Arabidopsis thaliana: one gene and its partners. The protein of the gene in region 2 interacts with the protein of the main gene of each other region in a pairwise test. Each region holds a gene or a part of one and is shown on either strand. Other genes may lie near its edges. The genes, in order: DAZ1, AT1G70030, AT1G77250 and AT1G19490.

Region 1 (6,534 bases), on a different chromosome or scaffold from region 2:
CTCTTTCTCTCTCGCAAAGAACGCTTTCAATATTCTCTCTGCTTTTGCCGGCGAAAACGAAACCATGGGTGGTTGTTGCTTCTCGACGCCTCTTGATAACAATCAACAACCTCCACAACAGCCACAGATTCCTCCCGGCGAACGCAAGAACGACGGATTCGTCAACTGGCCTGTCACAGAGTTCTTCCTCTCCGATATCACCACGGCGACCAATAACTTCAGTTCCGACGAGATCATATCAGAGAACGCAGAAGAATCTTCCAATGTTGTCTACAAAGGTTGTTTATTAGAGAATCTTGGCTTCGTAGCTGTCAAGAGATTCAAGAATACGCCTTGGGATGATCCTGACTACTTCACGGTACCTTTTCTTTGCTTTTAAAGGTTATCAAAGTTTGCAACGTTCATTTGATCTCTTTTGTTTCTTCAGGAAGACGCAAAAACAGCTGGGGAGCTAAAGCACAAGAGACTTGTCAAGTTGTTGGGATATTGCTGCGAGGAAGATGAAGGACTTCTTGTTGCAGAGTTTATGCCAAATGATACTCTTGCTAAGCGTTTATTCCAGGGTATGATTCCTTCTCTTCTTTCGTTTTCAGATATAGAATTGGTGAATATGAGCTTAAGAGTCTGGATTGTTAGTCGATCTGTTCTATAGATGTATGTGCTCTGTTTTGAATCTTGGCAGAGAGGCTGCATTGTTGGTTTTTGTGGCATGATTGTGGGTGTAGAATGGTATAAACGTATCTGAAGATAGAGAGAGTGCATTGTTGTTGGTTTATGTGACATGCTATAGAATGGTGTAAATGTATCTGCTTGTAGAATTGATTGAAACAGAACTTATTAGCATTCTCTGTTTGAGGTTTCTTTTTTCTTTTGTGATGCACAGAGAAGAACATGGAATGGTCAATGAGGTTGCGAGTGGCGTATCATATAGTTGAAGCATTGGATTATTGCAATTCTGTACGTTTTGACGAGTACGATAATCTAAGTGCTTACACTGTTCTGTTTGATAAGGTATGTTAAACAACATTTTTCATGCCTATGCCTTGTCATGTGATCTAAGGATGCTAAACTGTTTTTACTGGTGTTGAAGGATGGTGATGCCTGTCTTTCTAGTTTCGGCTTGGTGAAAGAGATCATCCGTTACAATCGAAGAGAAGGAGGTAACCAATTCGCTCTTGTATCTTCAGACTATTCATATCAGAATGTAATGTTTTATATTCTCATTGTAGGGAACGTGAGGACTGGGAATGTGACATACAGATTTGGTACTATCCTTGTGAATCTGCTAACTGGATTGCAAATTTCTCCGAGCCATGTAAGTAATTCTGTTCAAGCTTGACTTTGTGGAATCCTTGGTTTCTTGCAACACAAGTTACATTTTACTGAGTGGTTATTTATCCTCTGTTTCTAGGCTCCTGAGATGATCAATGGAAAGGATGTCACTGAGCTCATGGATCCAAATCTGAAGGGAAAGTTCTCTACAGAAGAAGCTACTATAGTTTTAAAACTCGCCTCTGAATGTTTGCAGTGGAAGGGTTATATAGAGAATGGCATCACTAAAAAGCTTGTTGCAACACTTAAAGCCTTGCAGGCTAAAAAAGAAGTAAGGAGGCTTACTGTTACAATAATTTCATCCCTGAAGATTTTTCGCATTCATGTTATAAAACCAAATCTTTTTGCTTGTAGATTTCATCTTCTGAAATGCATGAAGTAACAAAGCAGCACGATGTGGCATCATCTTCGAGTCAACAACAACTTCCACCCTGAATCTGCTAATAGCTTCAACAAAGTAACTCTTCTCGAAGCAACATTTTTAGGGAAGAAGAATCTTGATTTTCTCACTTAGTGTACTGACACTGTGAAGAAACACCATAATCCATGCATGATACATATACATGTATGATCAAACAATATAAACTTTTTACATAGGGAAAAAGATTCAACGTTTTAAACTTCATAAAGCTAATTTCTTGAATATTGGACATTTAGTAAATAACTCTATTTGCATTTCATAAACTAATTAACTTATATATAGAATACAATACCACAATCCTATACGTTCATCATACAAAGTATCACACATATATACAGAGAGAGTTTTTTGTTAATTAAGAGAAAGAACCAAATACCCAATAAATATATAAAACCTTAAGTTATCATATATCAAAGTCCTAACCTAAGATCCAAGGAACAACCTAACGTTGTGTCTGAAGATGTCGCCGCAGGAACATTAAGATCAATGCCCCTGACTTGGTTCTCTTCCTGATCTTTCTCCCAATGACATCTCATGTGACCTCCTAACGCTTGACCACTGGAGAACACTCTAGAACAGATGTTACATCGATGATTCATCCCCGAGACCAACTTCACACTCTTGCCCTTATCTTGATCAACGATCTCTTGAGGAGGTGGAGGAGGAGGATCTTCGGTTATGTTTTTATTGGCGAAACATCCTTTGACGTCTTTATGTGTTGCTCTATGTCCGCCTAACGCTTGATGTGACCCAAACACTTTCTTACAACCATCACACTCAAACCGTTCCTCAACTTCACTTGAACGGGTTGGGACATCACCATTAGCCATCATTAGTAAACAGGAGGCTATGTTATGCTCTTCCTCAGATGGATCCCAACTCGAGGATGATGACGCAGCGTTTGAGTTGATCCTACGTTTGAAGTTAGAAGGAGGGTTGATGCCACGCCACTGACGTTCAGGGTGACATCTCATGTGTCCAAAGAGTGCCTTCAGTGACCCGAATTGTTTACCACATTCAGTACATGGTCGTGCGATTTGTGAAGCATCAGGGTCCGGTTGCGTGACCGGTTTAGGCCTTGGAGAAGACGAAGAAGAACCGACTTCGTTGTTGGTGAGTTTAGTACGTTTTCTTCTTGGGTTTTGATTGTAACTAGGAAGAGTTACATTGGAGGAAGCAAATGGGATATCGGAATTGGGATCGGAGTTTGAAGTGTTCGACATTATTATTGAGTCTCTTACTAGAGAGAAGACAGAAAAACTAAAAGAGAGGAAAAAAAAAAGTAGAAGAGTGGGAGTTATGGTTGGTTAAGTAGAAGAAGAACAAGTTAGTTTTCATCGACGGTTTCTTAGCAGTTACTTCTCCCTGTTTTGTCGGATTTACATTTCTTTTTTTGTTTTCCTCATAAGTTTTGTTTTTCTTTCAATTATTATTGTATTTATCTTTGTTATTCGAATGAAAAACTTAACGCTCAATCACAAATTATCAACGTCACTACAGCTATATTTAATAAGTAAAATGGAGATAAGAAAACGTAAATGTAACCATTCCACATTTCGAAATCAACTTCTACAGATGTACGAGGTAACAACTTCAAATAGAATCTGAAAGATAACAGACGACCCAAAGTATGTAAAAAAGGTTGTGGGGATTGGGTAAAGAGGAAAGAAGATGACCATTGAAAACAAATAGTGTATCGATGAGCGGCTTTTCTATCCACAAGTTCGCGATCCTATCATAAATGTAGTTATACGAATTCCATAAATTAGATTACTGAAAGAAAACACATTGTTTATTCTATAATTGAGAAGCCAGAGTGGAGTGATATCAGTTCACGAACCTGTATGTTACTGGCCAATACTCCCCAAGAGTCGTTCTACAGCAGCGTTAACGTTACCATTGGTTGCAAGCAAAGCCCTTATGTTCTCTGCTCTGTCGTAGAATCCCATTTCTTGCAACTGTTGCAACTGAGTCGCAAATCGCTCTTCAGGAGGAACTGGAATCAAATAGACATGTTTCAGTGGAACCATCTCAATAGATATATAAGAAATCAAAGTATAGCCCCTAGTGAATCTAACCATTGGGTTGGTTTGTGCCACTTAGGCCGCCAGCACCAAGGCTGCCAAACATATTCATCAATAAATCTAGTCCTCCGTTATTGGCTGTCCCTATAAATATTTCCATAGTAGTGATTTACTCAATAAGCAACGTAATGAATATACGATTAAAGTAAAGCAAAAGAACAAAAAAAAGCACACTGTCTAAGTGAACTAGTTGAAGCCTTCATACTTCAATTACAGATAATATAGTACCTGTCGCAGCACCAGTTTGCGTAGGATCCCTACAAAGAAGATGGATTGGGAACATGAATAGAGGTTGATGGAAATCAAGATCACTGATATCAAATGTTAAAGGAAAGAACCAAAAAAGAACGAAAATTTTTATGCTCCTATTCAAGTTTATTTCAAGGACTAAAATACTTTACAGCCGTTGATAAAGGTCACTAATGATCAGCCCAGTAAAACATACAAGAGTTGCTGCATTACTAATGATTCAACCCATTTATTACTTAATATAAGATAGTTCACCACCGAGAGAATTACCTGGTTAGCTAGTGACACTATTTTCTAAACACAGATCAACCCAAAATCCTATTATGATATATAAAGGACATTACCTACTCAACTAATGTTCCAACTAAAGAAAACAGAAAAGGGTATCCAAACTTACTGGCCAGCCGTGTTCCTATTCTGAGAGAAAAGTGATTGTTGTAGAGACATCATTTGCTAAAAAGACCAAAAAACAATAGAAAACATTAGGTCGGAGAAATTTGACTACTGAATGATATAAAAATAATTATCTGGAGAGACAACATGGGCCCAACTAACCTGCATCATCTCGGGAGAGCTAAACTGGCGAAGGAAATCAGGGTTCTGCATCATTTCCCTCAACTGAGGATTCATATCTAGCATGCTTCGGAGTTGTGGGTTAAGACTCATAAGCTGGAAATGAAGGAAATATTAAAATATTAAAGACAGCCTCACAATAGCTACAATGTCTAAAATTCAGATTACTGAAGGCGCTACCTGATTCATGTACTGTGGATTGGAAAGTACGCTTTGCATCATCTGCGACATAGCGGGGTTTTGCAGTATTTGGCTCAATTGAGAAGCATCTGGAGTCGCACCAAGAGGTGAGTCCGCTCCCAGCATACCGAGTCCACCAAGGCCTCCAAGCCCACCAAGACCACCAAGTCCAGCATTTGTCCTTCCAGGGGCAGTTGTCTGGCCTGTCAAGTAGCCCCACAATATGTTCTAAAATCTTTAGTGCATTACGAGTAACAGTTAAACTAGAAACAAACAGCCAAGAAACTTATTCATAGACAAACTAGTCATAACAACAAACTGTGAGAACATGAACTCACCAATTATTACTATAATCAATACTATTCCTGACCAGTGTGGTAAACATAAACTTTCACTTCTTAAAAACAAGCCACTCTTGCTTTTATATTTAATATTTCAACCTTAAACTACAAGTAAAATCCCATATGAAATTAAGAGGATGAGAATACAGTTTCTTACCAGCCGTGGCACCCCAAGGATTAGGAAGTGGATTTGCATTAGGTGTACCCGTTTCAGCATTCGGTGCCGAAATATTATTAGAAGTATCGCTTCCTTGTGTAGTAACCCCCTGGTTTCCCAGAAGAGCAGCAAATGGATTAGAGCTCGTATTGTTTCCAGCATTCTCGGACATAGTGGTAGCATTCATTAACGGTTCCTGGACATTTTCATACATACGCCTAAGCATGTTAAATCCCTCAGGCATAGACTCAATATTACTCATAGCCCTATCAGTATTTCTCATCATTTCACGCATAAGCTCTGGGTTTCTCGCCGCTTCTAGAGTTTGACGAAGGATGCTTGGGTCATTGAGCACATGACCAAGCTCAGGATTGCGATCTACAAGCTCACGCATTTGAGGGTTATTCATAATCATACTCCTCATAAATTCTGGGTTGTTCATAAGATTCTGGATGGCTGGAGTATTCATCATCTCTCTAATCATGTTAGGGTTCTGAGCTAGTTGTTGCTGTGCCTGCTCAAGATCAGGAAGACCAGATCCAAATAATCCAGCCATAGCATTTCCACCACCCAAAGGATTAAATCCAAGGCCAGGGAACAAAGATTCACCTCCTCCGAGGTTTGAGCTATCATTTGAACCAACCGCTTGAGGAGCAGTGGTTTGGTTTCCAGCATTTGCAGCGGGAGCAGAAGGAGAAGAAGGCACAAAACCTCGAACCATATGAACGGTGTGATCAGCCTGCAAACCTATATATAAAATGGTCCACAGAGAAAGGAAACATTGAGGCTCATGATGCAAAACAATAAAACGTGGAAACTATCCAACACAATCATATCAACAACAGCCATTGATGGAGAAAATATACATCCCAAGAAGATACATGATCATGAGAACATTAGGAACTCTAAGAATGGTATGAATCAATTATCGTATCACTAACTACATCTCCTTATTCTTCCCATAGAAGGATTAAGCATACATCAAAACTCATAAAATCATCCATGCTTCTGTAAAAACCTAACATAAATCCAATGTTCCAACCCCCTAGAAACCCTATGAGATTTTCAGTCAAATTAAAGCAACGGAACAACAGAAATGAAACACGAAATGATCAGAAAATTACCATAGCTGAGGAGAGTCTGATCGTCTTTGAGGATACGTCCCTTGTAAATCAAACGCTGCTGATTTGCCGGCAC
Region 2 (7,128 bases):
ACATAATATTGTCATATTTGAATTTTAATGAATTTTATTAGTCATAATAAATTCTCCAAGGGTTTTCATAACCGTTTTTTTTCTTCTTCTATTCCTACCATCAAATCAATTATTTGTGAATTGATACATGTCAAAATATTATTGGTAAGCTAAAACAAGTCAATTTATAATATGCAATATCAAAATTAAATTGTTTTTTTTTAGTATTTTTAAAATCAAAAACGAAATATGTGAAGAAGATTCTTCTTTATCTAAATTTTGTTCAAAATTATTATTTAAAAAAAAGTTTGTTCTCACGGATTTTCGTTTTTGTTTTAATTATGTAATATAGGTTTTGGTTTTCTTTTTTATCCACGATTTCCTTTTTGATTTTATAATTCTGTTGAAAAATAATTTGGTTTTGCTGATTTGTCAAAATTTTATTGGTGGAGTGACTTGTGCTTTAAAATATAAAAGATTTGTTTTATTTTTTATTTTTTGTTTTAATTTGATTACAATTAATCATTAAGGTTATTTCGTCTTTTTACCAAAGATATGGCTTACTACAGTTTTTGAAACCAAACGTGTGTCATTTAAGTTATTTATGTTAAGAGTTGAGTCAATCTAAGCAAATCTTACTAAAAAAATTTATTGCCATAAATACAAAATAAAAATCTGGGAACAACAATGAATATGAGAAATTTGTTCATCGGTAAAACCTATGTAACTGCAGCGCGTACATTAGAAATCATGGATCTCAAGAACATATCATAGAACCTACGTATAAATTACAATAAGCGTCGATCTCAATAACATTTCATAGAACCATAAGTTTACTTTATTAATTTATATTGTACGGATAATTCGAAATTACTTTTCATAAGAGTAAAGGCATTCCAAAACCTGAAAAAAAAAAACAGTTTTTAGGTCCTTTAAAAGAATTTATAAGTAAGAATTTATAAGTATATCTTATTGTAAAGCACGCGAATATCTTTCTCTTGGAGTTTAATTCGACATACATTACTTAAAAAGTATATACACTATATACATATTCATGTACGTGTGGTGTGTGAGGGAAAGAAAGATAATTAATATATATGTTGGGATACGAGATCAAGTACGAGAAAAGATTAAGGTGTTGATTAGTTGCTTCTAATTGTCATCTTCATGACTAGACCATACTTTGGTATACACAACTGGTTACTTTTAGTTTGAGATGCGGCGGTACGAAAAAAATTAAACAAATTAATGTGTGTTTCAAAATATTAATTATAGAATTCAACACTGTTTTCTTAGTTGATCTCTCTAATGCTACAAAATATTCTGAAGATTATAATATAAGGTGCTACTAAATTATCCATGGTATGATTCGTATATCCAACATTTTTTCTGTATTATTTAGAATTTTTAACAATTAATACTTTCTCCCTAAACAAAGTTTATAAAAATTTCACTCAAGTTTCACTATTGAACGAATTGGTAAACAAAAATAAATGTTTTGGCTATTTAAAAAAAAAAATTGGTGCGGTAAAGAATGGTAAAATTGTAGCGAGGTGATAATAGAAAGTTGTTAAGAAACATCTCAAATTACAGCATCTTGGCCGATAATAAAACTAATATACTATGTTTGATCATCATATGATTTATTTTTCGTTCTAGCCTGCTTCTTTGATTCGTAGCCAAACAAGCTGGAGCACTCCCAAAGTCCCGAGTCTTAACGTTTTATGGCCCATTAACGATCTAAAGCCCAACATAAAGAACCTATTTCTATCCTTTGAGAAGTTTTCTCTGTCCGACGATTCATAGCCAATTAACGCTAAGATTACTATTTGATTTAATCTAAAATATCTTTAGCGAAAAGAAAGTTATTTACCAAAATCTAAAAATTTATATGTAATTATCGAAATCTTTTTAAAAAATTTGATATGTAATTATCGAAATCTTCTTATAAGAACAATATACCAACTCTTTTCTTTAATAACCCTAACAAAAAAAAGATACATAAATCTGGTGCATATACACATCTCTCTATCCGTCTCTCTCTGGGTTTCAATGGATTATGAAAACGGAGAAATAATAGCTCCTAAATCCACCACTTTATGGGATAGACTTACACCACGACAAAAAAAGTATGTGTTCACGTGTGTCTTGGTTTTTTTGATCGCTATCGCAACCGCTGCAATTATCGTTTATGCCTACTCTGAATCAGCACAAGAACGACGTGAAAAACGGCGTAAAGAACAACGTATAGAAAACTATGCACCGGATATTATAATACCATCTATGGATTTCACAGTCCTTAATTTAACCGAGACTAGTCTTAGTGTTAAATGGGATTTAGTGATCAGGCTTCCTTCAGATCTTCCTGGTTACTATATGTGTCTCAAAGGAGATTTGCAGACTTTCATACTTTACAAAGGTGTTACCATTGCTAATTCATCCTTAGACAGGTTACACTTTTTAAAAATTTCAATACTCTTTTTTTTTTTTTTTCTTTAACTAATTTCGTTTGTTCATATATTTTTGTTTGAACTTTTTTGTGTTATGCTCTATCAGTTACAATCTGATACCAAATTGGCCTCAGCTGCTTAATACCTCATCGGTAATTGCTTCTGAGGGAGATATGGACAGTGTTGTTGTGAAAGACATTATGGACGATATAAAGGAAAGAAGAGACATGCGGTTCGGATCGAGGTTGCTTCTTCCGGATTGTAGATCTGGGAGGAAGATGAACTATACGTGTGATGAAACTGCGGTTCGGTTTGAGCCTGGCTCTCAAAGGAAGGCAACTGCGTTTGAAAACGCCGCTCCTATATGCCACTATATTCACACTTAAGTAAAATTTTCATCAATAATGATTTTTATGTTTTAGTTTGCATATGTTGGATCTTCTTCTTTTGCCTTTTGATATCGTAGGAAAGAACTTAAACAACACAATGCGCTTTTGTTTTTTTTTCCTTTGGCTTCAATGGAATATACTTTGTTCTAATGTATTATTATTTTCGTTAATAATTATACTCTCATAGTAAGATACTATTTTTTAAAAAGATTCTATTTAAACATATGGTACTACATCAATATCATAAGTTAATCATTACATCAACTTAAAAAATTTATTTAGTTAGTCTGTTTAACGTACCGAACCGATAATTAAATTTCGAAATCAAATCTACCGATTGGTTTGTATCTAATAACCAAACTAGAACCGATTTGCACAAACTTCGGTTTGGACTTATCAATTTTGTTTTTAATCTGAAGGCCTACTTTTTTCTTTCTATAAATATTGGATAAGACTCATAAAAGTAGTATTTGGTATATTAAGAAAAAGAGTAAAAAATCCATATAAAGGAGAGAAAATCGAATCGTTATGTTAACAAAAAGATTATGTTTAACGTACGTGATATTAAGTATCTTTATATGACTCATGTAGTTATTTATAAACCTAAAACCTTACGACTTTCTTTGTGTCAATTGTCAAGTCTTTTGTATCTTCCTGTAAGCCTGTTACGTGTGAGGTAACGTGTCCATCAATACTTGTGTCCTAGCGAACTTTGATCGATCCTCTTCACTTTGATCCTATCTTGTTTCTATACTGAAATTCTTAGATCAAAATATAGTGTGACATAATCTGAGGAGTAAGTTAGATTCAAATCTTCTGGTCGATAGCTGTAAATTCCCTTGCAATGTTTTCTATGACTCTAATTGCTAGATCTGCGCTGGTTGTATGAATTTTTGGGATAATTTCGATTATTTTTCTTTGAACTTATATATCTTGAATTCGTTTATTGAGATTTAAGACTTGTATTGATTTTCAAAGTTGTTTATATTGGGAGTCGAACATTAATCTATTTTCTCTTCCTCTGGATAATGAAGCACTTGCCAGTTGTCAGTTTCAAAACCATGGTTGCAAATAAGAAGCTAACTACAACCGATGCACTTGATTTCCTCCATCTTGTAAAAACTAAATATCAAGATAATCGTGAAATATATGATAGTTTTCTTACGATCATGAAGGATTTCAGAGGTCAGAGGTATTTTTTTTCTTCTTCTTCCCTCATAATAGTTTCAGCTCTTAGTTATATAAAGTTTTGGTAAACTGTTTTTTTTTTTTTTTACTAATTGTAGAGCTAAAACATGTGACGTCATATCAAAAGTGAAAGAACTCTTCAAAGGGCAACCAGAGCTTCTCTTAGGTTTCAACACATTCTTGCCAACGGGGTTTGAAATAACACTCAGTGATGACGAACTTACGTCAAATTCGAAGTTTGCTCACTTTGACGAAGCATATGAATTTGTCAACAAGGTCAAGGTAGTTGGGCAAAATCATACTAGTAATTAGAGTTTGATTATGATTATTTTGATCCAAAAGATCTAAAATCTAAATAAAAAACAGGTTTAGTCATTTAAATTTAGAGAGATGAATAAACTTGTTTAGATTTTAGTGTTAAAATTTAGGATATCAGATTTATCGTTTTAATTAAGGGTTAGTTTCGGTGTAAATATTTCGGTTTATATCATTTGTATTCTCTATTGCTGTTTATTTTGCAGCCCTACTAGAAATTATATTACTCTTTTCTGTACAATTTTTTTTTTTACTTTTCTCTTAAATATCATTTTTTCTGTAGACAAGATTTCAGAACAATGATGTATTCAACTCATTTTTAGAGGTTTTGAAAACGCATAAAAAGGAAAACAAGAGCGTTGCTGAGCTCTACCAGGAGGTGTATATATATATATGTTTCACTACCTTTTCTTTTTCCATCTTTCTTGTATTGGATTTAATGTAATGTATTATTTTGTAGGTGGCTATCCTTTTTCAAGGCCATCGAGACTTGCTTGAGGAATTTCATCTCTTTCTTCCACATTATGGATGAAGAATGATGAATTATGTATACAATGAAGCCATGCAAGTTGTGGTTCAAAGCCACTTTATCTGCTTCCATTTGACTCAATGGGGATTATCATTAGTTTGTTGCTGAACTGGTAAAACTAGTACTCAATTTTTCAAGTTGTTTTATACTATTTAAACTGAATATTATGGATAATACACAAATTATTTATCAATTTACTTAAGACAATATAATTATGCTTAGTGAGAATGTACCAAACCTTTTTTTTTGGGTTAAAGGTTGCTGCACTAATTAAAAGAACAAACGGCGAATTACAAATTCTCAAATAAACGACAACAAACCCGACACGGTACAAGAAGATAATTTGAACCAAACCATACAAACAAAAGAATATTGCCTAGGTGTTGAGGTGGCTCAACTGTGGAAGCCAAAGCTCTATCAGATGCAATGCTAACAAGAGAGAAGTCGAATGCAGGGAAGAAGCTATCAGATTTTAAAATCCAAGCTGATGCGTTTACTCATTTCATCTTTAATTGTGAGTTATTAATTTTGAAAACCAGACTTTTTTTGTAGGATAAAGAACTTTTACAACTTTTTTTCTATAACCCTTTTAATATATGGTTTTTATTTTACTTTATTTGTCTAAATTTCTTTTCTAATACAGTTACAAACTTTTATATTTTTATCTTAAATATTTCAAAACTTTTAGATTTTATACATGGTGAAATCTGATGATTTAATTGATATTTGTTGCAATCACGAGAGTTAGCAAGTTTGAGATTATTGTTTTGAAATAAGATATGGAGGATAAATTTATTTTAAAAAAGAGAGAGAAAAATGAAAAAATAAGAAAATACTTAATTATTGTTTTGAAATACTTTAATTAATTAAAAACAACTATATCTTTAACTAAATTTTAATAACATATCATATAATTAAGTATAGGTTAAAGTTCATTTTCTTAAAAATTATCTTTCCTTAACAACTATATCTTTATTAAACTGTCTCATCTTCCTTTTGCACTCCAAAATAGTTTCCTCGTTTCTCTTCAATCAATCACTTAGAATGGCAGACGAAGAACTATCTATAGGAGTGCGGATCTTCGTTTCTTTTCTCATAGCCTTTGGTATTTGTGGTCTGGTTTTGTTGATGATAAAAGACAATTCTGGCAAAATCCCGGTGCCGAAAATAGAGTTAGCTTCAATGGATTTCACGGTGCAAAATATTACAATGACTCGTCTTAATGCAAAATGGGATTTGTCGATAAGGATCCCTGATGATCTTCCTGGTAAGTATATATGTCTTCAAGGAGACCTTGAAGCTTCCTTGCTTTACAAGAATGTCACTCTTGCTACCTCATCCCCACAAAAGTAATGAATCTATTTCCTACTATTTTTTAAACCCGTTTTAAATTCCTTAATTCGTTCGTATTTTCAAAACTAATTGAATCTTGTATATGATCAGATACTACAATCTCAAATACTTCAATCCTCAGCTTCTTAAGATTTCAGCTAATGTTTCCGAAGTAGATATTGGCGGTTTGATTGGAAAAAATATTATTAACGATGTCAAAGAGAGGAAAGAAGTACACTTCGGATCGCGATTTTCTCTCACGGATTGTAGAGAAAAAACGACAGGAGTTATGAGTTATGAGTGTGACGAAGCCACCTTGCGGTTCGAGCCAAGCTCTGAGATGAAGGCGACAATGTTTGGGGACCATCCAAACTGCATCAATGTTTGACCAAAGTCCATGTCATCACCATGCCAGTTCATTGTTATATTTTGGCGTCAATGTTAATTTGACTCGGAGAGTGGGGAAACATAAACGAGAGAAGTTGGGTCGTGTAGGTACATAATGGGCCGACAATAACAAACGCTAAAACTAAAATGTGTGAAAATGCCAATATTTGGGCCCAAAAGATAAGAAAACTGGAAAGGAAGTAAAAGTGTACGTAGGATTAATTAAAAAGATAGTGTAAAACAAAGGGGGCATTCGGAGAATTGAACTCCGGACCTCTCGCACCCTAAGCGAGAATCATACCACTAGACCAAATGCCCAATTTGATTGAAGCTTCACTTTGTTGTTAGATAACCATATTCTATGTCACCAAAAATTATCCACATCTACATAGTCATCTTAAGTTTACCTACCTATCAAAATTCAAAAGAGTATTAGCAAAGTCCGACTGACAAACTAAATTTGAACCGACACGAGAGAAATGATTTTTTCATTGGAATTATTTGATTCTTAGAAGTTGAAAACTTACTTTAAACTAGAAAAATTACAAATCACAAAACC
Region 3 (8,904 bases), 2.6 Mb from region 2:
TGCCTTGATTTCTGTTTTGCTCTCTCGTCTGGTTCTAGACGATCCCACTCAGGCTTCAATGCGCACGAGACAACCAGACCGCCTGTTTCTGTCATCCCGTAACCGTGACTCACGTCGAAACCAAGCGCCTCAGCCTTGGAGATGACTGTAGCTGGTGGTGGAGCTCCAGCAGTCATAACCTTAACTGGGCTCTGAAGCGGTTTCTGGGCTGGGTGATTAGTCAACATGTTGAGAACCATTGGCGCAGCGCACATGTGGGTCACTTGATACTTGTCGATCAAGTTGAAAATAGTCGGCACATCAACTCTTGTGACACAGATGTTTCTGGCTCCCACAGCTGCTGTGGCCCATGTGTAGCTCCAACCATTGGCATGGAACATCGGCAGTGTCCACAGGTATACCGGACGGTTAGGCAAAGACCAGTCTAGCAAAGAGTTAATAGTGCTCATGAAAACCGATCTGTGGCTATGCACCACTCCCTTTGGGGACGACGTAGTTCCTGAGGTGTAGTTAAGCACCATTGGAGTCCACTCGCTTTTAGGACGTACCCACTTGAACCTCAGGTCTCCTCTCTCCATAAACCCTTCGTACGTGTCAAGAAAATCCATATCAGCTGATGAAGATGATGGCATGTCGTTTCCGTCGTTGAGTATGACGAGACGAGGTCTCTCATCCTTGGGCAAAAACGAGACAGCTTCGAGGACTAAAGAGCTTGAGTGATGGTCAACAAACACGAGCTTGGATTCGCTGTGACGTAGAAGGACGGAGAGTGCATGAGCGTCTAAACGTGGGTTGATGTTGTTGAGGACTGCGCCTGACATCGGAACTGCGAACTGAAGCTCGTAGACAGATGGGACGTTTGGACCAATAACAGAGACAACTTGGCCGCGGTTGATTCCGAGGGAAGCGGAAGAGAGAGTTGAAGCTATACGGAGACATCGAGAATGAGTTTCAGACCAAGTATGAACAGTGGTTGTGTGGAGGAGTGAAGGAGAGTCGCCGAAGACAGAGGCGGCTCGTTCTAAGAAGCCAAGAACAGTGAGAGGACATGAGTTTGAAGCGTGTGGGAGTAAAAGTTCCATAGTCGAATGTATTGATTTTTTCTTTTGTTATGTTTTCAACTTCTGATGGTGCATTGGTGAAATGAATTATATATTTTTCCCGATGTGCTTAGGTAGAACAGAAATCATTAACTTGAAATATTTTATTTTGAACTTAGGCTGCTTGGGTAATACATTTCTCTTTTTTTGGGCTCAACAACTAATTAGCTTAGGCTTCTTGGCTAATACTTTTTTCTTTTTTTGGGCTCAACGGTCATTTTTTTCAATTATCTAAGTATTGAACCATCTATTGAAGTGGATAATACCGATTATAGAAAAAGATTGATCGATTGTTTGCCCCCAAAACAAGAAAGATTGAGAGATTTATTTTGATTGATTTGAACATCTAATAGTAATAAGTGAAATCTTATGTTATTTAACTACTGTAAATATTTTAGTTAAAATCTTATCTTGTTCGATGAATTAATCACATGTTATATATACCCTTACGGTCTATGGTTGGTCGGCCTCGTAACAATAATACTCATTAAGCTTTTTTTTGTTGTTGTTTGAGTTTTTACTCGTAAGATATTGTAGAATAGATTAAATTTATAAGAAAATTATCCGATGAAGCATCATCTCTTTGGTCAAGAATCAGTTCATTATAATGTTAAACAAAGTGCAAAATCAGCAGATCAAAAGGGCACTGTTGATGAAAAGAATTTACTCTTAGAAGAAGGTTTACCCTTCAGAATCCTTTGTCTTGCTTTCAAAAGTTAGCAACCAAACGAAAACAAATTTGTGGAGAAGAATCAAATATTAAAGTGTTGAAAGTTAGGTAGATGAGACAAGAAGCTGTATTTTGCTTGTTTGCTTATCAATCCAATCCTTCATTTGATGGATTGGAATGTCATCTGTTCTTCATCTTTCAGTGTGTCAGCTGCGTTTAGAAGCATGTCCATTCCTCCTACGCTTTGATCCAATTCTCCATTGTCTTTACTTTGCGGTTTGCCTTGGAGATTCTTGGGTTTTATTCCTTTCTGTTTCTGCACCGTCTCCATCTTCTTCTCAAAAGCCTTTCGTGCTTTTTGGACTTTAAGAATTGCAGCTTTACATGCTGTGCAAAACCATTCTCCATTTGGAACCGATTCACATGGAGGTCGCATGCAATAGATGTGATATGCATCATCACACCCATCACACAAGACGATTTTATCATCATCCTTGTCAGTTAGGCAATTTCTGCATAAGCATGACGAGCAATACCAACGGACACCGTGTAGTTTTATTTGCCTTGAAGTCAAGCACCTGATGTGGTAATACTTGTGTGGGCAAAAAGGGTGATCACATGTTATATACTTTCCGCCACTATCCACCTTTGTTCCACAGGTCCTACAGAGTTCAGAATCTCTACTCATCTCTACGTGGTGCACCTCATGATTCATGTTACAGCTTGAATTCTCTTCAGATTCGTTCGAATCCTCTTTGCATTCTGTACTCGTATCAACAGATCTGTTATCTGTCTTCATCATCCCTTGGGTTTTCATTTTTTCACACACTACACAATTCTCATGAGGTGATCCGATTCCCTTAGATGTACAGTCTAGACAATACCAACTGTGTGTTGGCATCCCTTTCCCACCAGGTTGTGCACACGAGACATGGTACATATCTTCACAATGATCACATGCTAAACAGTCTCTTGCCTCTGCCTTCTCTCCACATAGCTTGCAAATGTCAGAAACACTGTCATTTCTGATGTTCTCTGCATTAGGACAAGGCTTCGATTCCCCAGTGTAGAACTGCTTCAACTTCCAGATTTTGAAATAAAGAAGATATTAGAGGATTGATGGATAAAGTTATAATAAGATAGCACCTTGAAGAAGATCATTTATGCCTGACCCTCACCTGTTCCTTATAGGAGGTTCTTGAAAGCTCTAAGAGACTATTAGCAAGAACAGCCATATCATTACCAACATCCTGCATTTTTTGCCAGACCTGAAATCAGTAGTTAGGTTTAGTTCTATGTCTACCTTCAATCTAATGCATAATATGTACTGAAAACACAACCACATTCGTCAAGCTAAGAGTTTGTGTTCAGCTTCCGAACTACGGCATCAGACTATATTTTTCACAATGAAAAGAATAAGAAAGACATGATAATCTGTTTTCATGCATATTTATCTTAGACTAAGCATGATTTCCACTAATTACCTCTTGGAGATCCGTTGAAAAGAGCAGAGGTGAACCTTCATAAACACCCTCTTTCATCCTGGTGTCTATCAGAGTTCTGCTCGTAAAATCATCAATCTTGACCCCTTGAAGATTTTCGGAAAGTAACCTATTTAGGGATGCAAACTCCTTTGAAGCTAAAACATGGGACAGAACATGCTGGCAACCGGCTGTCACCGTCTCATGATTGGTGGATTCACTTGATGGTTTATTTGGACTGGGAGGCTTCGGGAGTTCACCAGTAAGATGGGTTCTTATGCTAAACCTTTCATAAGAGACAGACTCCTGTGAAGAAATTTAATGAAAAAATTAATCCAAAACAAGAAAGAGCTAACATGTTTTAGGAGCATATTCATGAAAGTAAATCATGAACACATGAGTTGATCACACAAATATAACCTGAGACGAAGTTCAGGAATGAATGCATGATTTAGCAAACTCTAGTCAGGTTTTCAATAAGCACAGTATTAACAGCACATATGGATTTTACTACTATTTGCAAAGCGTTTCCTGAAACATAGCTATCACACACTAGACACCAATGTAGCCTGAACAAAATGAAGGGAACAGATATATAATCGCAAAATTGTTACTTGAATAGCCATACGAATATAAGCAGAAATGACCCTTCTCTTTAGCTCCCTCAGCAACATGCTGAGTAATTGAGGCCCAATATTCACTATTGAAGCAACTACCCAACCATCACTAGATTTATAGAGATCCTAATATACATTACTTAGCCAAGGCTCTAAAATAAACCAATAAACTAAATTCACAAAACATATAACAACTGAGGTGAGCGAAAGTTGCAAAATGCTAGCAACTACATATACTCCAGCATTTTAAAACCAATCACAACAAGAGGTGGTACCATAATAGAAAAAGGCATGAAAAGTACCCGGCTTTCTGAGTGACTAACACCTTCCATGGAAAATCTATCATTTTCCGAACATTTATTAGCAGAATAAGATCTCCCAAGTTTTCTCCGCTTATATGTTTGTATCTTCTTACTATCTCTGGAACTAGCATTTGCAGAATTAGCCATAGCACCACATCCTGCACTCCAATTATTCAATGCTTCACTTTCCACCAAACCATTTGGCTGATTATGCTCTGTACCTTTACCATTACTTGTCGCCTCCTCCATGAACATCTTAAACAAATGTTTTGATCCTCACACAGTGGAGCTAGGGTTTCACCAATCTTCCATCCTACAATAGACAAAACAGAAACTTGAGTCCTTATATAACCCACAAACGAAATCTCATATGGAAATGTTGACCATTGGTAACAAACTATCAAAATGTCTTCGATTTTATCACCAAATAAACCATCTAGAAATTAGAAAAAACAATATCATTCCAACAAAAAGCGATGAAATTGAAGACTTCTCTACCATAATTTCATCAGAAAACAACGAATTTCTAGATACGGAAACTTCAATGGAGCTTTATCTAGACACTACAAAAGACGGAACAAAGCTAAATCCAAATTCAAACCTCTAGCGAAAAAACCGACAAGAGGGAAAAAGAGAGTAAAACCGTACCAGTGTGAAGAAATCTGCGTAAAGAACCGACGAAGAGCAAACCCTAGAAATTTGAGGAAGAGGATTGATTTACCGGCTCTCGGAGATTAAGACTCGCCGGTGGTTCTGTAAATCCCGGCCTTTCTTATCTTTGAATCATTTTTAAACTTCCGCGTCCCTTAACCGGTATATTTTTCAACTTGGATCTGAAACCGGTCAAAACCGGTAATCAGTGACGCGAAACTGACACGTGGAAGTAGTAATAAAAACCGCGCCGGAGACTCACGGTGACGGAGTCCACCACAGTAACAGATTCGTGATGTGCACGTGCTTTTAGTTATTCCCTGATCAAAGAGTCACAACCGTCGGATCTCAACTTTAGCAATCCAACGGTTATAACTGAAAGACACCCACCATTCTCTGTTTCTTTATTTCACACTTCTCTCTGTTTTTTTTTGTCTGAGAAAATGAATCTTTTTGTTACTCATGTGTTAAAGTAGCTCAAGTGTATTAACACTCTTCATTCTTCAACAATCAAATCAACAAACAAATAAACAATAATACAATTATCAATTTATCACTAAGAAGAACTGTCGCTTTGAGCAGACTTATCATCACATTCGATTTCGTATCTTTTCTTTTTCTTTTCCTCATATCCGTTTATCGCAGATGAGAATCCTAACGCTTGCGTGGGGTCCTTCCCCGGTATCATGAACACCAGCAGTCCAACCGATGGCTTTAGCCACTTGCTGAAGTTGGTCCATCAAAGACAGTGAATCCCTTATGTAAACATGTCCTCCTGGTCTCAACATCCGGTCCATCTCCAGCATAATGTTTGTTATGTTGCACCTATGTTCCACAATTCATTACCCCAATCAAGTTCCTGACCTTTATTTTTGGATTCAGGATAAAAAGAAAAACGAAGTTTAAATCTTTTTACCTCTTTTTCTCAACAGAGAAGAGAAATGCAGCATGTATCAGATCATAGGTTCTTGGGTAGGTGTCAAATGGCTCACACCTAGAGGAAGTAAGTGAAAAAAGCTTTAAATGTGATCTTGTGTAAGTTAAAGTTATGTGGGATTAGAAGCAAAAGAGCAGAAGGTTATCAGTCTGTACCAGTCGTGCATAGCCCCTTGTAGTCCACGGTCATAAATAACTGGCAAGGTGTTGAATCCGCTAACGGGAACAATGTTCATAACCCAACAGTCAAGCCCCAGATCGTTTAATGCTGCTGCAAACCTACCAAAATCAAGAAATACTAGATCAAATAAACTTTGGTAAGGCAGAAACAAAAAAAGGGTGTGATTGATGGTTACCCTCCAAAACCAGCTCTCATGTCCAGAACATTCCTCAGTTTGAACTCCTTCCAGCGGAAAACCCGCACATAACTCTCTACTACTTCTAACCAAAATCTAGACTCTGCCTTCATAATTTCCTTTCGGGATATGTACGCATCCATTTGAATGCTTTGTAGCCTCTCTGGCGGATCATGAAGACGTGCAGGCCATGTGGAGACATTAGCCCCATAGCCATTATCAGGTAATCGGGTGATGCACGGTTTCATATCTACATACCTGGAACAGGAAACCATAACCACAAAGTTGAGATTTTTAGAAAGTTTTAATTGAAAAGCTGAGAATTTGGTGGTTCTATCATATAATGTCTATGCAAGAAGGCTCAAAACTATTAAAAAGAAACTAGATTTTCAGATGCATATATGTACCAAACATCATCAGGATCATCATCAGGTCTGCACAAAGGAGGTTTTGTTCCAGCTTCGCGACTGACATAGCAGCTGTTGTTTAGAGGCTTCCTCCACACAGCAATATATCCCTCTTTCTTGATAAGCTCCCAACAGATTCGATTCGTAAGGTCTAACATTTCTGAAAAAGATAATCAAAGCGCAGAAGCAACACCCATATTTTAGTTAAACTCCATAGCAGACAAATTATTTTGTTGAATAATATACAAACCTTTCCACTGCTCTTGCAAGTTATCCTCATGTTTGTAAACGGGTTGTGCAGCCCAAACAAAGTAGCCTCCTGCTCTAAGCATTCTATTAACTTCAAGAAGAAGTATCCCATCTGTGTAATTCATAGAAACAAAATGCTGTAGTCACTTACTATGCTAAAGCTCAAATAACATTAGAGGAGAAGCAAAAAGCCAGAAATTAACCATCGCGTGTCCAATTAATTCTGCATCTGGAACAATGAATCATCTCAAAAGACTGGCTTGGATACAACAACCTCCGTGTGGCAAAGACAGCCACCATCGCAGGAACACCACGCTCCAATGCAAACTGTATCTGATTCTCATGAACATCTTTTGGTGCTACAGACAAGGTTGTCGTGTTACGCTGCATCAAAAACGCACCAAAGCTCGCCACACCACAGCCAATGTCCAAAGCAACACGGGTGCGTGATCCAAATGTAATATCAGGAATCATCTGCAAATTTCAATCTAAGAGAATATAAGATCAACACAAAAAAAAACAGATTAGCCAATACACCAAAAAAACAGGTAGGAAGAATCAAAAAACAAACCTGGGAGATCTGGTCTAAGTACTGATCAGCTCCATGGATGAATTGAGTTCCACCTCCAGGGAAAACAAACTTATCTTTCTCTCTTCTAATCCAATTTTGACCTCCTTTATCTTCCACTAAACGTGTATGAGGCACATTATTGAACCATATCTACAAAGCACAAATCAAAGTTAGTGACTTTACACTTAAGGCTTAGATAAAGGTAAGAACTTGATCACACTATTTCACCTTGTCTCTGCTCTGTGGCCATTGGATTGGTTTCTTATAACCATCTGGAGGTGGAATCAAGCAATCTAAGCTCTGTTTAGGACAATGTCTCTCGTAATTTTCTCCTCGATCTGTATTGTTCAATCTCTTTATCTCTTCTTCGTTGTCTAAGCAAGGAATGTAATCTATCTTCGTCTTGTCACACAATTTGAGTTTCTCAATCTGAAAACCGACTTCCGGCGATTCTTTTTCCTCAACCGACGAATTTCCGGTGGCTGATTTAAGCTCGTCGATGGAATCTGGATCGAATCCGCCGATTTCGAAGGAATCAGACATGGCACCATTCTCGTTGATGATACCTGTTCTCACCACTGTCGGTGGAAGCGGAGGAGGTGATATTTTGAGACGAGGACGCGGTGGAGGAGATGGTGCCACCGCCGCGACGGATGTTATGTTGGTTTGAATAGCTTCGGTGACGTTTGAAGAAGAGGAGATGGGAAAAGGAAGAGATGGATAAGAGAAGGAATCTGAGAAGTGATTGAAGAGAAAAATTGTTGAGATTGAGAGAAACGCAAACGCAATCAATTTAACCAATCTCGGAGTTTTGACAACGTCTAATCCAACGTCGGAGAGTTTCATGGCGGTTTAAAACGCCGGCGATCTGATGATCGCTACAGAGTAAATTACAACAGATCGAGCAAAACAGAGAGAGAAAGGTGGTTCCTTTTTTTCTTTCAGAGAGACGGCGAGGAATTGATGAAGCAGACGCTGCAGACGCCGGCGACGGTGGAGAGACGTAGGAGAGTGGAGGTTGAGACACGTGGATGTGGTGGTGCGGAATTTGATGTGAAGAGAGTGAAGGGACGAAACTCGACGAGTCGCATGAAGACAATGAAACAGAAGAAGAAAAAGAAGAAAGTGTACAGATTAAGCAAAAAATAAAAAAACGTATTATAAACCTAATTAGTACCTATAATTCAAGTTTATAGCATAAGGTCTCTATTTTTTTATGATTTGCTTACATTCCCCTAATGGAAATAAATTACAGGTTTTGGTCAAGACAAATCAGAAACTAGTGTCTTTTAAATGTGGATTTTAAAACTTTTTAATTTAACTGTTAGAAGATGAGATTTTATTTATTTAATGTGATGGTTGAGGATCTAAATTGAATGACAAGTTTCAGTTAGGTATTGTGTTGACTTGCTGACTTTAAGAGAGAGTATGGTATATCAACCACATGCTCACGTGCTTTAATTTACAGAGTGCATTCGTACCAATAAAATATCAATTCAAATTTTATTTTAAACTATGATGAAAATAATATAAAAAACTTAAAAATCTTTTTTTCTATAAATGA
Region 4 (8,208 bases), about 20 Mb from region 2:
TATTATGTTAAAACCAAAGATGATTCTACTACGTACCCTGCAAGTCATAGGCTCAACAAATAACCATTAAACGCTTAAACCCTATAATTTAAAGAGGTTACTAATTTTAAACTTCATAAGAACACATACGAGCGTTAATTAACGGTTGACTTCTCGACATTCTTCATACAATACGACACTATGCTCTGAAAACCCTTATGGACCTTAAAAAATGTAGACCCATAAAAAGAACTATAATTCTTTATTTTGGTATACAAACTAAAAAAATATTGGATAAACACTACAACTTGCGGAATCTCTCAACTCTCTTTTCCTCCATATAAGGAGCCTATTTTGGCATTCGTTTGTATTCGTAACTTAGTATCGATCCCTTTTCTTTCTCTTTTCTTGTTTCCCTATATATATCTCATATATTCCCAAAAGAATTTAAATAAAATGGCCTCTAGTTCTATGAGCTCGAGCTCTTCTTGGACGTCTAAGCAAAACAAGATGTTCGAGAGGGCTTTAGCCGTTTACGATAAAGACACTCCCGACCGTTGGCAAAACGTGGCTAAAGCAGTTGGAAGTAAATCTGCAGAGGAAGTTAAACGTCACTACGACATCCTCGTTGAAGATCTCATGAACATCGAACAAGACTTAGTACCTTTGCCTAAATACAAAACCGTCGATGTTGGAAGTAAATCTAGAGGCATCGATGATTTTGATTTGAGGTGAAATCTTTTTGTCCTTACCAAATCTTTTAGAGTTTGTGGTCGTTTTTGTGATTTCTATAGTGATTTAGTAGAAACATATGTTTAGTTCAAATAATTTCAAAATCTGATTATATAAATGAGTTCTTTTGGTAGTAGTATATTAAAACTAGTGATGAACGTTGGACTATATAATAATAATAATATAGGTATAATAATAAGAAACATGCAACCACACGCACCATCCCTTCTATTTCCGGCATTCTCATTAAAAGGAAAGGAGTCACATGAAATCTAATCCTGTTTGTGCACCATCACATGCACATTGTCCTCAACTTTTGAATCTTATATGAATGATATAATGTTATATATGTATATATCTAGCTAATTCTATATTATTCGAATACGATTAAATATAACGGTATATATTAATGCAAAAGTGATTCTGATTTTTCACTGGTCGGTGATCAACAAAAGTGGTATCTTAGTGTCAAGTTATATTAATTAATCTATTGTTTTTTGACAGGTTAATGAAGAATATGAGAATCCAGTGAAGTTGTTACATGATGTGAAGATTGCTATATGTCTAAGGATTCAAAGGGATATGTTTTCTTCTTTCTTATACTGATGAGTGTATCATTCCCTTTTCATTGTGTTTCTTATTTGCTCTGTTTAATCTTATTTCACAACAAATCATCTAGCTATTTTGGTTTTGTTTATTTATAATTCTAATCTATTTTTGTCAAATTCTTATTTTTTTAATTTGTCTATGGACGGGGATTTATCATTATACAGTATAGTTGGTTCACATCTATTCCACCTAGTAAAACAACTGATTTCCATTTCGTAATCTCAATTTCCAAAACTTGTTGAAAATGAGAGTATTTTTACCATTAAAAACGTATACATTGTACCATGATTGAAATCCCAAATGCAAAGACTTGAATATTCCCCTGCAAAATCCTCCAACCAATCATCAGCTGGTTAGCATCTCGATCTAGAGCTTTGATAAATATTTTAACAATCACTTTTGTTTATAAAATAAACTAAAGCTTAAACATCACATGTAATTGCATACATTTATAACGTTTTAAATTTCTTAGAGATAAAGCATTTATAATAAAGTTTAAAAGAAACGAATATCACCAATTCACTATATGGACCCAAAAAAAAAATGAAATCGAAAACCATAAAACTGTTGCTTAATTTGGAACTGGCATGAAACTAAAGCCATCTCACGTCGTACTATTTTCGGCGTAACCACTACCAACGTTGGATCGTTCCACCAGTAAATAAAACCAAATTTTAAATCTCCTTCACATATAAATAAGGAACTTCAAATTAAACCAAACGAAACACGAAAAACACGTACGTAAACAAATAGACTTTTGTTTCTTACAAGCTTAAGACAAATTTACGAGCTACCTCTAGTTATTAAATCATTCTTGTTTTTATAAACCAATAAAAGAAGAAGAAGCAAAAAAGTTTGCCGGAGATAGGATGGCGAAAATATCGGTGGCCGTGCTGTTGTCGGTAATGCTACTTGTCTCGATAAACTCGGTGGATATCTTGGCCGAGGAAGAACCAACGGTTGGGCAGAGGGTAGACTCCGCCATGACGAGTGTCACCGATGCATTCAATGAACACGGCGGCCCACAAGCCGTCGACACCGTATCATCCACCTTCAAATCCGTTTACGGATGGTTCGGTGATAAAGCCAAGTATGTCTACGATTCTTTTGAATATTTTTAATCTTTTTGGTACAAAAATCACTTTTACTATCCCGTAACTTTAATTTTTAGTTCCTACGATACAACACCACAACACAAAAACTGAATCTAAATTCGATATATAGTAACATGATAATTCATACAAAACACCACAGAAACCCATGGCGTTATAAATCTATTTGATGATACCATGATTTCTGTATCTATTTAATAGTAATTTGCCTAGGTTAAACATTAAATTTTTATGATTTTATCAACTGTAAGCACCAATTTTGTTTTAATAATCAATTTCCATAATCCCTCCTTAATATATGATTTGTTATCTTTCTTCAGGGAATGGGGAATCCACTTCTAAAAGGAGGAATGCACAAAATTCTTTTAAGTTGTGGTGTGTTTAATACCAAAAGAGGTCCCAAATCGACTTATGTGTAACTGATTATATTTATTTAATCTTCAATGCATATATATGTAAACGGTAACCCAATCTCTTAAACAAAATGCATTAGCTTGATTATTCCTCTTATCATACCGCATAATTCTCAAGAAATATATGTGCGACAACGTTTAGTTTCACAAGGATGTGGCCATTATCATACATTACTAGGCCCATTTCTATATCCGTTAACATCTATACCAATGTGGCAATGTTCTAAAACTTGCTCTAGAGACTAGGCGGCCATAAACTGTGACAATTATCTATCATGCATGAGCTCTCCAACTAATAAAACCGTAAATCACTATCACAACTATGATTGCGACGGGCCAGTTGTTATTAACCGGCCAATTACCTGGCCCATTTATATGTCCAACAAAGAGGTCTAGAACCAAAATGATTGTGTGTTGGTGGATGCACCCAAAAACCTCAGCCGTAATTATTCACCACTGAATCTCATGGCTCAGACGTCGCCACGTAAATATCCAATAAAACCACCACACGTGTCGCAATCTGAGCAACTCTCAAAACCGACCTTGCAAATCTTAAACTCTGCGCCTCTTCCCAGTTCTGAGGTCGCGGCGGTCCCAATTCTCGGCTTCGCACGCACGAATCAACTCCGCACGTGCCGAGTATGCTGACTTGGTAACAAAAAGCGAGACGTGGCGGTCACAGATACATGGGCTATACTTAAGCAACCAATTGTAGACGATGAGCTGGCATTACACGTGTCGCTCTCTCACCCTCTGTGGGCTCCTCTTTGGCAATTTTTTTCCCACTCTCTCTCTTTCTCGAGAGAAGTTACAGTTTTTCTCTCTCTCTCTCTATAACCTTTTTTTTTTTCTCTTCTGGTTACGTTTTTTTTTTCTTTGTTGGGAAAATCTTTTGGGTTTTGAATTTTTTTTGGTTTGTCGATGGAGTTGGAGCCTATATCATCGAGTTGTTGCTCGTCGTCTTCTTCTTCTTCTGGGGAGGAGAATACTGCGGCGGCGAACATGACGGAGATGGAGGCGGCAGAAGCATTGGCGGATTTAGCGCAGCTTGCGATAATGCGAGAGCAGGTTTTCGAATCTGCAGCGAGTTGGGGAAGTAAAGGGAAACGGGTGAGGAAGCGAGTCAAGACTGAGTCTCCTCCTTCTGACTCGCTTTTGAAACCACCTGACTCTGATACGTTACCTACTCCGGATCTAGCTGAGGTTCTGTCTCTTCGCTTTCCCTATTTTTTTTATTAGTCTGTTTTTTCAAAGAACCTCACTTTCATTGATTCTGTTTTTAGAATTGTGAAACTTTTATGTTTTAGATCCAAATAATCGATTTTGAATAGATAGAAATAGTGATTGCACTGATTAGGTGAATAACATGTTACAATTAGTAAGCTACTGGTAAAACAATCTGATGATAATAAAAGATGTTTCTAAAACAGGAACGATTAGTGAAAGAAGAAGAGGAAGAAGAAGAAGTTGAACCAATAACTAAAGAACTAACTAAAGCTCCGGTTAAATCTGAAATCAATGGTGAAACACCTAAACCAATTCTTGCTTCGACTCTAATAAGGTGTAGTAGATCAAATGGTTGTGGCCGATCAAGACAGAATTTAAGTGAGGTATATGATTATTACAAGGCCAAAAGTTTTGTCTACCATATTTCTTTTTTTGTGACACTTGAACTTACTTTTGCTAATACTAATCTCTAGGCTGAAAGAGAAGAACGTAGAATCAGAAGGATATTAGCTAATAGAGAATCTGCGAGGCAGACAATTCGGCGAAGACAGGTATTGTTTACTGATGCCTTGTTTCTATCAACAAGGTCCATATTGGGAAAATTAGCTGAATAGTAGACTAGTGTTGTTAAGTATTAATTATACCGTATATATCCAGGCAATGTGTGAGGAGTTGAGTAAAAAAGCAGCTGATCTGACATATGAGAATGAGAATTTGAGGAGGGTGAGTAAACTATTCGATTTACGTTTCCATCGAGTGAACCTTAGAGACCGTTGTTATAGCTAATGACATTTCTGCTGTGGTAGGAAAAGGATTGGGCTTTGAAAGAGTTTCAGTCTTTGGAGACGATTAACAAGCATTTAAAGGAACAGGTTACACAATCTATCAAAGACCATATCAGTATCAGGAGCACTATTGCTCACACTGCTATATCTGATTTACCGTCTGTTTTAATAGGTATTGAAGTCAGTAAAACCCGATACAAAAGAGCCTGAAGAATCACCCAAGCCATCACAAGTTGAGATGTCTACATCATCTACTCCGTTTTACTTCTACAACCAGAATCCATATCAGCTTTTCTGCTGGCCTCATGTTACTCAATCATCAAATCCAATGATATCGCCACTTGAATTCCCTACTTCGGGAGGAGCTTCTGCTAAAACTATTACCACGCAGGAGCATGAAAATGCTGCAGATGATAATGGGCAAAAAACTCACTTTTACGTTGTACCTTGCCCTTGGTTTCTCCCTCCTCCTGATCACAGCAATGGTGTTCCTTTCGGGCTTCAAGATACACAAAGAGGTACTTTTTCAAACGGGCACCATATCGATGATTCTTCTGCAAGACCGATGGATGTCACAGAAACTCCGCGGTCCCATCTACCAACTAGAATCAAAGAAGAGGACTCTGGTTCACCCGAAACCAGACCTTTATATGATCTCAACGAATCTGCTACTGAAGTCCTCTCAGAAGGAGGAGATGGATTTCCTGTAACGCAGCAAGCTTATAGTTTAAAGCATGAAGATGTTTCTGAGACAACTAATGGAGTTACACTGATGCCGCCTGGTCATCATGTTTTGATTTCTCTACCGGAGAAAAAGCATGGATCGTTGGCTGCAGCGGAAGCTAGAAAGAGACGGAAAGAACTCACAAGGCTCAAGAACCTCCATGGCCGTCAATGTCGGATGCAGGTCGGATAACTCATATATTCTTCATCTTACCAGTTAAAACACTGAAGGTACTTCATGATCCCTTTCTTTTTGTCCGGGGCATTTTCGCATTGTTTCGGCTTTCTTACATAAACACCAAAACAAAGAGTCATACTCATCCACCAAACAAAAGTTGGATTATTGTTATACTTATCCAAGATTAGTATTCGGGAGTTTCTGGTTTTGTTTTTACAAGGTAATAGCAAATGTTGTACCATTGTAAGATTTAGGGTTATTTGGCACAAAGTTAAAAGTGCCATTTTGTAAGATCATCCGGAATCTGTTTGCTTCTCGCTTGAAGTTCCGTTCCGGTCTTGATCAGTTCTATAACATATTTTCAGGGTTTGTTCCCTTTTTTGACCGCAGAATCAAAAAGTTCTTCAATTGAATCAGTTTCTTGCAAATAATCTTCTTTTAATACAAAATCCTACGTTAATTTTCTTTTTGGAATAAACACTTGAAGATGTTATATAAGTGTATTGTTACAAGGGACTTAATTGTTATCTCCGAGGTTTCCAATCTGAGGTTGGAGCAATCTCTTGACACCGAACAATCCCGGCGGCTCCACCATAACATAACCATCTCTCACTTCCTTTATTCATGTTCCACCGCACACGATGCATCGCCACCATTTTAGGCGGGAACCCTTCTGCTTTCATTCCATTGCTATTGTTGCTAGCTGCTTTTCTTCTTCCTTCTTCTTCTCCGCCATCTTCTTTGACACAGACCAGTGCTCTGCTGTTCTCGTCCTCCTCTGCTCTTGCGTTGTTCTTTCCTTTTTTAGCCTTTGATTTTGCTGCTTTGTTATTTGTTCCTTCGGATTCAGACTCTAAACCTGGATCCTCAACGTGTGCAAAAGCTGAAAAGATCAAGTAAACCAGTTCAAGGTAAGGACTAAGTGATTCCGGAGATTGATCTATTAGACAGTCTAATTTAGACTGGTTTCAACTGACCTAGAGGCTGAACATCTGAAACGTTAGATGCATATCGGCTAGGAGATTCGTTCAAGAGACTTCGAAGGCATCTCTGTTTTTCACCGGTCTCACCAACTGGTTTCTTCAATACGATCGGGATGTCTGGAACTGGACTATGCACTATGAAGGTGGAATCTTTCATTGTCAACTGTCCACAGAGATAGTGTGGAGTCCGATTTCTCGTGTCTTTTTCCACTGCTTTGGTCGTAAGCTGTAAGGAATCCCAACAAGACAAAATGAAATCTCAAAGAAATTGACAAAGAACATAAGAGGTGAAGTAATTGTGCAGTTTATGCAAACCTCGAAATGGAAAATGGACCCATCTGCAGTGCAATACGCTGCTATGCCTGAGAAGTTATATTTTGACTTATTTATTATGATGAACCGATGATTACGAATTTGAACACAAAGACAAGCCCATAAAGAACATTTACCTGTTAGCCTTGATACTTGAATACTCCAGATGGGAAAAGTTGAACAGTTATAAACGCTTAACCCTTGCTGTTTTGTATTAGGATAAGGCCTTCCAGTAGCAGGAACATCATACGCAACCTTCACCAAGCTTAGGATTCTTAATGTTCCATCATCAAAGGACAATAGAACGCAGCTACAGATATTTGAAACCACATGTTTAAGCAGGACTTCAAACCATTGATCTAAAGACTGTATAATCAACTGAGGATAGAACAGTGATTGATACCTTGGATCTTGTAACCAATCAAGGCTGTAAATAAACCTTGGTACTGGGTGCAAATCCCACAGAGGACGGAACGGATCACTGCAGAAAAAACATAGGAAGTAAGCAAGAAGCTATGGAGAGCCAAATAAAAGAATAAACAGTGCAGTCTTGTTAATTAATTGCATGAGCATCAAAGTTTAAAGAAAATTATGTAATAGCTGATAAGGTTAATGAAGTGTACCGTAAGTCCCAAAACTTCAGACCAGCATGTCCAGCAGTTGCTACTATGTTTGCACTTTCCTGATCACTGGAAAACTTTCAGAAATTACTTTTGATTAATAAGCGAATCCTCTTCACAGTTTGATTTTATGGGTGTGATTTTACGTCACTACCTTTCACCAGGAGCCCATGCAACTGCCCTAATAGGAGCTGTATCTGCGCTGAAGAAAAGTAAAGGTCTTGTATCTGCACAAAAAAACGTGAAAGGTAAATATGAAATCAACAGATGAAATCACTTTCTCTGGCCACCGTGTGAAAAGAAACTATCTGGCATCAGGACAAACATATCAGGTCTTACCTTCTGAAGATTTGGTTGTAGAAAACTTCCAGAGAGCAACCTGATGCAAGATAACAAAAATAAAGGGGTCAACGCAATTAAGCACTGCAATTCTTGTTCCTGAATACATTTACACATATGCAAGAAAACAGAGACAAAAATATGATAGAGTCAGTGAAGAAAGTGAAATAATTTACTAATTACCGTGCCATCGTGG

Evidence for each region.
Region 1: the proteins of AT1G70030 (region 2) and DAZ1 interact in a two-hybrid assay, tested with the Arabidopsis thaliana proteins (one large-scale study listed by BioGRID).
Region 3: the proteins of AT1G70030 (region 2) and AT1G77250 interact in a two-hybrid assay, tested with the Arabidopsis thaliana proteins (one large-scale study listed by BioGRID).
Region 4: the proteins of AT1G70030 (region 2) and AT1G19490 interact in a two-hybrid assay, tested with the Arabidopsis thaliana proteins (one large-scale study listed by BioGRID).

The regions. Positions count from the first base shown.
Region 1 is NC_003071.7:7,474,672-7,481,205, forward strand, and holds DAZ1 (C2H2-like zinc finger protein), read right to left. Parts: upstream 3,013-6,534; 5' UTR 2,977-3,012; coding exon 2,164-2,976; 3' UTR 1,991-2,163; downstream 1-1,990. Other genes in the region: AT2G17170 (Protein kinase superfamily protein), read left to right, coding at 65-358, 428-563, 884-1,011, 1,091-1,160, 1,230-1,315, 1,412-1,603, 1,687-1,767; AT2G17190 (ubiquitin family protein), read right to left, coding at 3,601-3,749, 3,832-3,921, 4,066-4,094, 4,484-4,539, 4,642-4,755, 4,840-5,042, 5,338-6,084, 6,462-6,534. UniProt on the Arabidopsis thaliana protein: Mediates the regulation of male germ cell division by DUO1.
Region 2 is NC_003070.9:26,375,339-26,382,466, forward strand, and holds AT1G70030 (Paired amphipathic helix (PAH2) superfamily protein), read left to right. Parts: upstream 1-3,302; 5' UTR 3,303-3,494; intron 3,495-3,517; exon of another isoform or gene 3,518-3,846; coding exon of another isoform or gene 3,847-3,879; coding exon 3,880-4,010; intron 4,011-4,104; coding exon 4,105-4,288; coding exon of another isoform or gene 4,289-4,318; exon of another isoform or gene 4,319-4,326; intron 4,327-4,604; coding exon 4,605-4,700; intron 4,701-4,781; coding exon 4,782-4,853; 3' UTR 4,854-5,041; downstream 5,042-7,128. Other genes in the region: AT1G70020 (transmembrane protein, putative (DUF1163)), read left to right, coding at 2,032-2,429, 2,536-2,815; AT1G70040 (transmembrane protein, putative (DUF1163)), read left to right, coding at 5,895-6,199, 6,294-6,570.
Region 3 is NC_003070.9:29,018,514-29,027,417, forward strand, and holds AT1G77250 (RING/FYVE/PHD-type zinc finger family protein), read right to left. Parts: upstream 4,962-8,904; 5' UTR 4,819-4,961; intron 4,484-4,818; 5' UTR 4,426-4,483; coding exon 4,171-4,425; intron 3,558-4,170; coding exon 3,255-3,557; intron 3,039-3,254; coding exon 2,949-3,038; intron 2,852-2,948; coding exon 1,931-2,851; 3' UTR 1,663-1,930; downstream 1-1,662. Other genes in the region: AAE2 (AMP-dependent synthetase and ligase family protein), read right to left, coding at 1-1,082; AT1G77260 (S-adenosyl-L-methionine-dependent methyltransferases superfamily protein), read right to left, coding at 5,448-5,646, 5,738-5,815, 5,914-6,036, 6,114-6,371, 6,521-6,680, 6,771-6,881, 6,973-7,243, 7,341-7,490 and 1 more.
Region 4 is NC_003070.9:6,749,518-6,757,725, reverse strand, and holds AT1G19490 (Basic-leucine zipper (bZIP) transcription factor family protein), read left to right. Parts: upstream 1-3,652; 5' UTR 3,653-3,766; coding exon 3,767-4,048; intron 4,049-4,275; coding exon 4,276-4,455; intron 4,456-4,545; coding exon 4,546-4,623; intron 4,624-4,729; coding exon 4,730-4,795; intron 4,796-4,878; coding exon 4,879-4,944; intron 4,945-5,029; coding exon 5,030-5,773; 3' UTR 5,774-6,182; downstream 6,183-8,208. Other genes in the region: RL5 (RAD-like 5), read left to right, coding at 436-710, 1,216-1,243; AT1G19500 (uncharacterized protein), read left to right, coding at 2,190-2,410, 2,753-2,774; AT1G19485 (Transducin/WD40 repeat-like superfamily protein), read right to left, coding at 6,283-6,641, 6,736-6,967, 7,057-7,103, 7,191-7,363, 7,457-7,534, 7,677-7,742, 7,828-7,900, 8,013-8,052 and 1 more.